Saccharomyces cerevisiae S288C: one gene and its partner. Changing the gene in region 1 together with any one later gene gives a genetic interaction. Each region holds a gene or a part of one and is shown on either strand. Other genes may lie near its edges.

Region 1 (4,727 bases):
CTCTGTGTCTGGTAATACACTAAAAAAACACGCTTCACCCCTATTAGAAGACGTTGAGGATGAGGAAGTTGACAGATACAACGAGTCCCTAAGCAGATCTCCCAAGGGAAACTCTATTATTGAGGAGATATAATGGGTGATAATACATACTCCCCATCTTTCATTTTTACGGCATTAAATAACTAATTATATGCATCTTATATACTACTATAATTCACTGACTTTATGAAAGGAATATAAATCGGCACGGCAGAAGGCGGATTTATTTTGTTACAATATAACAAAATAAAAGGGCAACAGTAAAGTAGAAATTATTAGTATCCGTGATTTTAGTACAATTATTTGCTTCCTAGAAATCCGGTTTTCCATGTTAACATTTATGCTAGTATTTTATGGTGGAATGGCAAGTGATTCACAAAATACAAGCTACTTTATCGAATGATTGAAATTCATTTCTGCTTGAATAGAATTCAACTATCGTTTATCGATTCTATTTTGAGGATTCCTATACCCTCGAGGAGAACTTCTAGTATATTCTATATACCTAATATTACTACTGTTATTAACAATGGAATCCCAACAATTATCTCAAAATTCACCAATATCTCAATTCCATCTTTAGAAAAATTAAGTTCAAATTAACGGAAACAGTAATCAAGTAAAAGAGCTTTTTTTTTCTTCTCCCCTTCCTGCCCTGAAGATAATTGAGTAAATGTTACGTTGAGAATGGCTTTTTGATATTTCATTAGATTTACTTCATTATTCTTCTCTATTCTCCCCTTTCATCAATTAATTGGGCGTGTGGCGTAGTCGGTAGCGCGCTCCCTTAGCATGGGAGAGGTCTCCGGTTCGATTCCGGACTCGTCCAAATTTTTTTACTTTTAATGAGGTATACTGGAATATTACGGCTCTTTTTTTTTAGAAACATATTCCTCAAATGGGTAAACGGACCCTGGTGCAAGGTGTGGGTGCTGAGACAAATACGATCTGAGTTGTTTTAAAAAGGAAAACAAATGAATGCGTGCCCAAAGCGGAAAATTGGTCAACATCGATGCGTAATTAGTAGGCCCAGGTGAGCCTGTGCCGAACATGTATCTCTGCGCAGATTACTATATATTCCCGAGCATAACAGCATATAGTTTTCTTTCACATAGGCCTTCCTCCAACTGCCATCACTGTACATAGACGTTTCGGCACTGTATATTCTTGTCCCTTTTTTTTTGCCTACTACATTGCTGCATTCAAACGATATCGCTCTGCGAACCGTTTAAAACTGACCAAAATAGGGAGACCTACCTTCTAAGGAGAAAAAATTCGCATTGCTAAAAAAAAGCTAAAAGAGAAAGAGAAGAAGAATATTAAACCAGTATATTCTACTACAACTATCGATTTACTCCGACTACAAAGTGCCTCTTCGTATTTTCAGTCGCTCGAAAAAACAACCCATATTCCATTTGATTCTACGCAGCTGGTAGAAACTTTTACAGGTTTGATAAAATTATTACAATCGTTAGCGGTTACGCAAGGAATAGGAAATAAAGAAACGGTAAATAATAAGAAAAACACAGCAGATCTAAGCCTATTGCACACAGTATATTATAACCATTACTAGCTAGTGTTACATAAACAATAGCAGAATATGTCTGTGCGAAACCTCACCAATAATCGTCATTCCAACAGCGAAAATAGTGTTTCCGGAAGCGAAAACTCCTTTTATTCCTCGAATGAGCAATCAAGACAAAGCTCATCATTAGAACCTGCAGATGGTCAGAACGTTAGGGTGAGCGGTAATCCTTTCCTTGGAAGTGAAGAATTTGACGAAGATTATAATTCACCCAGTGGAGACGATGAGCGGCGTGGGGCAAATGAATATTCCAGTTCTTCATCCATAAATTATAATAACGATCCTAACAGCGATACTTCTCTTCTGGCTAATGAAAAGAACTCACCCGAGAGAAATGGTCAAAGAATGTCAGACTATAAGGGCTATTATGCTAAGACTAACCTAACTTCTGCTAATAACTTAAACAATCATAATAACAATAATTATAAGAACATTATAAGCAGTAGTAACGATAATAGTTTTGCATCACATTTACAGCCGCCGGACAGAAACTTACCGTCTCATCCTTCTTCAAATAATATGAGTAGCTTTTCTAACAACAGCTTAATTAAGTCTCCACCACCTTTTGACAGATATCCGCTAGTAGGAACGAGGCATATTTCAGCGGCTCAATCTCAGTCGCAGAACCTTATAAATGAAAAGAAAAGAGCGAATATGACTGGCTCATCTTCTTCTGCTCACGACTCTTCATTATCATCCACCAACTTATACATGGGCGAACAGGATTTTTCGCCCTTTGGCGGTTATCCAGCTTCCTTCTTTCCGTTAACGTTGGACGAAAAGGAAGACGATGACTACATTCATAATCCAAATGTCGAGGAAGAAGCAAAGTTAGATAGAAGGAGGTTCGTTGACGACTTCAAACACATGGATAGAAGATCTTTCTTGGGGCTTCTGGGTATTCTATTTTTATTTATGGCTGGTATATTTATTTTCATTGTATTACCTGCAATTACATTTTCCGGGGTAGTTTATCATCATGAACATGTTCATGCGGCAAATTCAGCAGGATCGTCGTCTTCTAATACTACATCCAAGTCATTGACTGAATATCAATATCCTCAACTTGCGGCTATAAGGACAACTTTAGTTGATCCAGACACACCTGACAGTGCGAAGACAAGAGTAGCGAAAGATGGATCTAAATGGCAGCTGGTGTTTTCCGATGAATTTAATGCTGAAGGTAGGACCTTTTACGATGGCGATGACCAGTTTTGGACAGCTCCTGACATCCACTACGACGCTACGAAAGATCTTGAATGGTACTCACCAGATGCCGTTACAACTACAAATGGTACCTTGACGTTGAGAATGGATGCATTCAGAAACCATGACCTTTATTACAGATCTGGTATGGTACAGAGCTGGAACAAACTCTGCTTTACAGAAGGTGCGTTAGAAGTTTCCGCGAACCTCCCTAATTATGGTCGAGTTACAGGATTATGGCCTGGTATGTGGACCATGGGGAACTTGGGCAGACCAGGTTATTTGGCGAGTACTCAAGGTGTTTGGCCTTATTCATATGAAGCATGTGACGCTGGTATAACACCAAACCAAAGTTCCCCAGATGGTATTTCTTACTTGCCGGGACAAAAGTTGAGTGTTTGTACTTGTGATAATGAGGATCATCCAAATCAGGGAGTTGGAAGAGGCGCACCGGAAATAGATATTTTAGAAGGTGAAGCTGATACAATTTTGGGTGTTGGTGTTGCGTCACAATCTCTACAAATTGCTCCATTTGATATATGGTACATGCCCGATTATGACTTCATCGAAGTTTATAATTTCACCACAACAACTATGAATACTTACGCTGGTGGGCCTTTTCAACAAGCTGTCTCAGCAATATCCACTTTAAATGTAACATGGTATGAATTTGGGGAGGAAGCAGGTTATTTTCAAAAGTATGCCATTGAATATCTCAATGATGACGACAACGGATATATTCGTTGGTTTGTGGGAGAGAACCCTACTTTCACACTATATGCTACTTCTTTACATCCTAGTGGTAATATTGACTGGAGGAGAATAAGTAAGGAGCCAATGTCAGCGATTTTAAACTTAGGTATTTCCAACAACTGGGCCTATATCGACTGGCAATATATATTTTTCCCGGTGACAATGTCAATAGATTACGTCCGATTATACCAGCCGAAGGGTTCTACGTCCATTACTTGTGATCCTGAGGACTACCCGACATATGATTATATCCAAAGCCATCTAAATGCATATTATAACGCCAATTTAACTGATTGGGAACAGGCTGGATATACTTTCCCAAAAAATATTCTAACAGGAGGTTGTAGTAGTTCAAAATTCTCATTATCCTGAGGTTGATTTTTTTTTTTCAACTGGTTAAAACCTACTATCTAAGTGCGCTTTAATTCTAAGGAGGCAAAATAGTCTGCGGTCACAGTCGTTGAAAGTTCTAGATTTGGGTACGGAAGCAGCCATGTAAATGGTCTTCCTTTGTAATAATATCATCACTGGAGTTTTTAAATTAGAGTACGGATTCAAGTTAGCGAAAAATTTCTGTTGGTATCTGATAGCAATTTGTCGACAAGGTGGAGAGTTTTTGAAGTTTTTTTTTGTAACAGTTATGTTACACTATTTACCAGAGAAACACCAAGACAGGAGCCCTCAGAAGCTTTCGTGTTGTCAGAACATAAATATCTTCTATATGTTTTAATCTTTTATATTAATCAATATTTTATGTTAAATCATATTATTATTCGTTAATGGTTAACTTGCGCTATTTCAAAATTGGAAGGATAGTGTGGTTACAAGCGGTGTTTTTGATGTATGTTTACTGCTAAGAGTATACCGTCCTGTTTACTTTTTTACCTTTTGTTCCGTTATTGATTTTTCGCAGCAAGGTTGAAGCTTCAAATTTGAAAATGAAATTAAGACGTAGAGATGAAAAACAGCGATGAAATTACTTTTTATAGCTTCTTTCCCATCTGACTCCGTTTTATAAACAGGGGTTCTTTAAGGGCTTACAAATAAATATAAACACTAACACATATATATTATTCGACCTACAGTTTTTGCGACCAATGAAGTTTACCTATTTTGAGTTAGTGCTTACGTAGTTTGCTTAAGG
Region 2 (3,107 bases), on another chromosome or scaffold:
AAAAAACAGAATCAAGATGATAATTCCAAGGTCTCGGTAACACACAATGAATCATCGAAAGAAAATAAAATTACACCCTCCATGAGAGCAGAAGATAACAAACCTAAAAATGGTTGCATCTGCGGTTCAAGTGACTCCAAGGATGAGTTGTTTATACAGTGTAACAAATGTAAAACGTGGCAGCACAAGTTATGTTATGCTTTCAAAAAATCAGATCCAATAAAAAGAGATTTTGTTTGCAAAAGATGTGACAGTGATACGAAAGTGCAGGTTAATCAAGTAAAACCAATGATATTCCCTAGAAAAATGGGAGATGAGCGATTATTTCAATTTTCATCCATAGTGACAACTTCAGCATCGAACACAAATCAGCATCAACAGTCTGTGAATAACATAGAGGAACAGCCCAAGAAACGTCAACTTCATTATACCGCCCCAACAACTGAAAATAGCAATAGTATACGGAAAAAATTGAGGCAAGAAAAACTGGTAGTATCAAGCCACTTTCTGAAGCCACTACTGAATGAGGTAAGTTCTTCCAATGACACGGAATTCAAAGCAATAACAATATCAGAGTATAAGGACAAATATGTTAAGATGTTTATTGATAACCATTATGATGACGATTGGGTTGTTTGTTCTAACTGGGAAAGCTCAAGGTCAGCTGACATCGAGGTAAGAAAATCATCAAATGAAAGAGATTTTGGAGTCTTCGCTGCAGATTCTTGTGTTAAAGGTGAGCTAATTCAAGAATATTTGGGCAAAATTGATTTTCAAAAAAATTATCAGACAGATCCAAATAATGACTATCGTTTGATGGGAACGACAAAACCTAAAGTACTTTTTCATCCACATTGGCCTTTATATATAGACTCTCGAGAAACAGGCGGATTAACAAGATACATAAGACGGAGTTGTGAGCCCAATGTGGAACTAGTAACGGTAAGACCGCTTGACGAAAAACCAAGAGGAGATAATGATTGTAGAGTTAAATTTGTTTTAAGGGCTATAAGAGATATTCGTAAGGGAGAAGAGATAAGCGTAGAATGGCAATGGGATTTGAGAAATCCTATTTGGGAGATAATAAATGCATCTAAAGATTTGGATTCCCTACCGGATCCCGACAAGTTCTGGTTGATGGGGTCAATAAAGACTATTTTAACAAATTGTGATTGTGCATGTGGGTACTTGGGCCATAATTGTCCAATAACTAAAATCAAAAACTTTTCTGAAGAATTCATGAGGAATACGAAGGAATCCCTATCTAATAAATCTTACTTTAATACAATAATGCACAACTGTAAGCCATAAACGAAATTTTAAAATTAATAGTATTCATTTTAATCTTTTTTGAAAGCTTAATTTTATCATCATAATTTTTCTTCCAAAACTTCAATCTTGGTATTTTTTTTCGCATTGGTCTTCATTTTTTTTCTTTTGTTTTTAGCTTTAATGTTGAAAGCGTGAATATCAAAACACTTTTATAATAAATCACCACTTTGTAACTATAGAGAACAATTCATGCTTTATTTATAGATGCCACGATTAAGCATCAATCATTAGTTGAGAGGATCCTTAACGTTAAAATCCACCGCACTTTTCCTTTCAAAAAGCTGCATTGTTTCCATAATTCATTTCATGGCAGGTTAATGACTTATTTGATATGAAGAGTGAGGTTCTTATCAAATGAAATTCCTACATATGAATTTTTTAAAAGAGAGTTTTTCGTTTTACGATATTTATTTACTTCATCATCGTTTATCATTTTTCACGTAGCAAATTTTGAAGCTTCAACTTATAACTCATTTGCATCCGATTCACATATTTCAGCTGACTATAAATTTGGCAACAGCTTCGTGACTTGAGCATAAGAAAAACATAGACTTGTTGGATATAAAATATGGCTCACAGGGCTTTCATACAGGTTATAATCACAGGAACTCAAGTTTTTGGAAAAGCATTCGCCGAGGCGTATAGACAAGCGGCTTCACAATCAGTGAAACAAGGTGCTACAAATGCATCTAGAAGGGGAACAGGAAAAGGCGAATATGGTGGTATTACGTTGGATGAGAGTTGTAAAATTTTAAATATTGAAGAATCCAAGGGCGATTTAAACATGGACAAGATTAATAACAGGTTTAACTATCTATTTGAGGTTAACGATAAAGAAAAAGGTGGAAGCTTCTACTTACAGAGCAAAGTTTATCGAGCAGCAGAAAGGTTAAAATGGGAACTGGCTCAGAGAGAAAAAAATGCGAAGGCGAAAGCAGGGGACGCTTCAACAGCGAAACCTCCTCCGAATTCAACAAATTCATCTGGTGCAGATAATAGTGCAAGCAGCAATCAGTAGTCAAGGAAGCCTCCATCATTACGTCACAAGTGTTATCGAAAGCATGCAGCAGTGCATATATTTTCCTAGTTGGTTGCTTCCTGTACGTTAGGAATCTTCAACCACCATCCTTGTATTTAGTTAATATTAGTATATGTACCAAAGTAAATATACTCAGATGCCATCTCGATATACGCACCGTACACGAAAATGAAATTAAAAAAAAAATGTTGGAGCACAAGCAAGGCAGCATCAGAACGTACCGTCAGTTGGTACCAAGACAAGTCCATCCCCGTAGGCACTACAAATTATGGGAATGAGAAAGTATACAAAATATAAACTGTCTTATCATGAAGAAGAGTCGCTTAGGAATTTAAACTTTCAAATCGCATTACGCAATTCTCTAAAAACGCGAACCTTTCCCTGATATGTAATCAGGGAATTTCCTCAGAATAATATTCGATCTAAGAAACCGGAAACGAAATGAAAATTGTTACTACTTTGTTTAGGAGTAGTCAAAGTTCATTCAGCTATGGGTTATGATGAAATGATTTAAATTATTCTCGCTCCAGTATTAACTTATTACGTAATATGAGCTTAAAAGAGCAAGCTCCTCATCACTCACACTCCATAACATGAAGAACGAAAATAACCTAATCTTTAGGTTTCTATGGTATAATGAAATTAATATTATCTAAAGATAGTATTAACCACTACTGATGTTAGCCTTTTGAAAAAAAATCAAAAGAAAAATTTGAATTTTAAAGAAGAAGTAACA

Evidence for each region.
Region 2: of SKN1 (region 1) and PAM16, a mutation in one rescues a mutant of the other (synthetic rescue), as found in Saccharomyces cerevisiae (one study listed by BioGRID).

What each region holds. Positions count from the first base shown.
Region 1 is NC_001139.9:773,554-778,280, forward strand, and holds SKN1 (beta-glucan synthesis-associated protein SKN1), read left to right. Parts: upstream 1-1,639; coding exon 1,640-3,955; downstream 3,956-4,727. Other genes in the region: BTN2 (Btn2p), read left to right, coding at 1-133. UniProt on the Saccharomyces cerevisiae protein: Required for synthesis of the major beta-glucans of the yeast cell wall.
Region 2 is NC_001142.9:225,427-228,533, forward strand, and holds PAM16 (import motor complex subunit PAM16), read left to right. Parts: upstream 1-1,900; coding exon 1,901-2,350; downstream 2,351-3,107. Other genes in the region: SET4 (Set4p), read left to right, coding at 1-1,311. UniProt on the Saccharomyces cerevisiae protein: Essential component of the PAM complex, a complex required for the translocation of transit peptide-containing proteins from the inner membrane into the mitochondrial matrix in an ATP-dependent manner.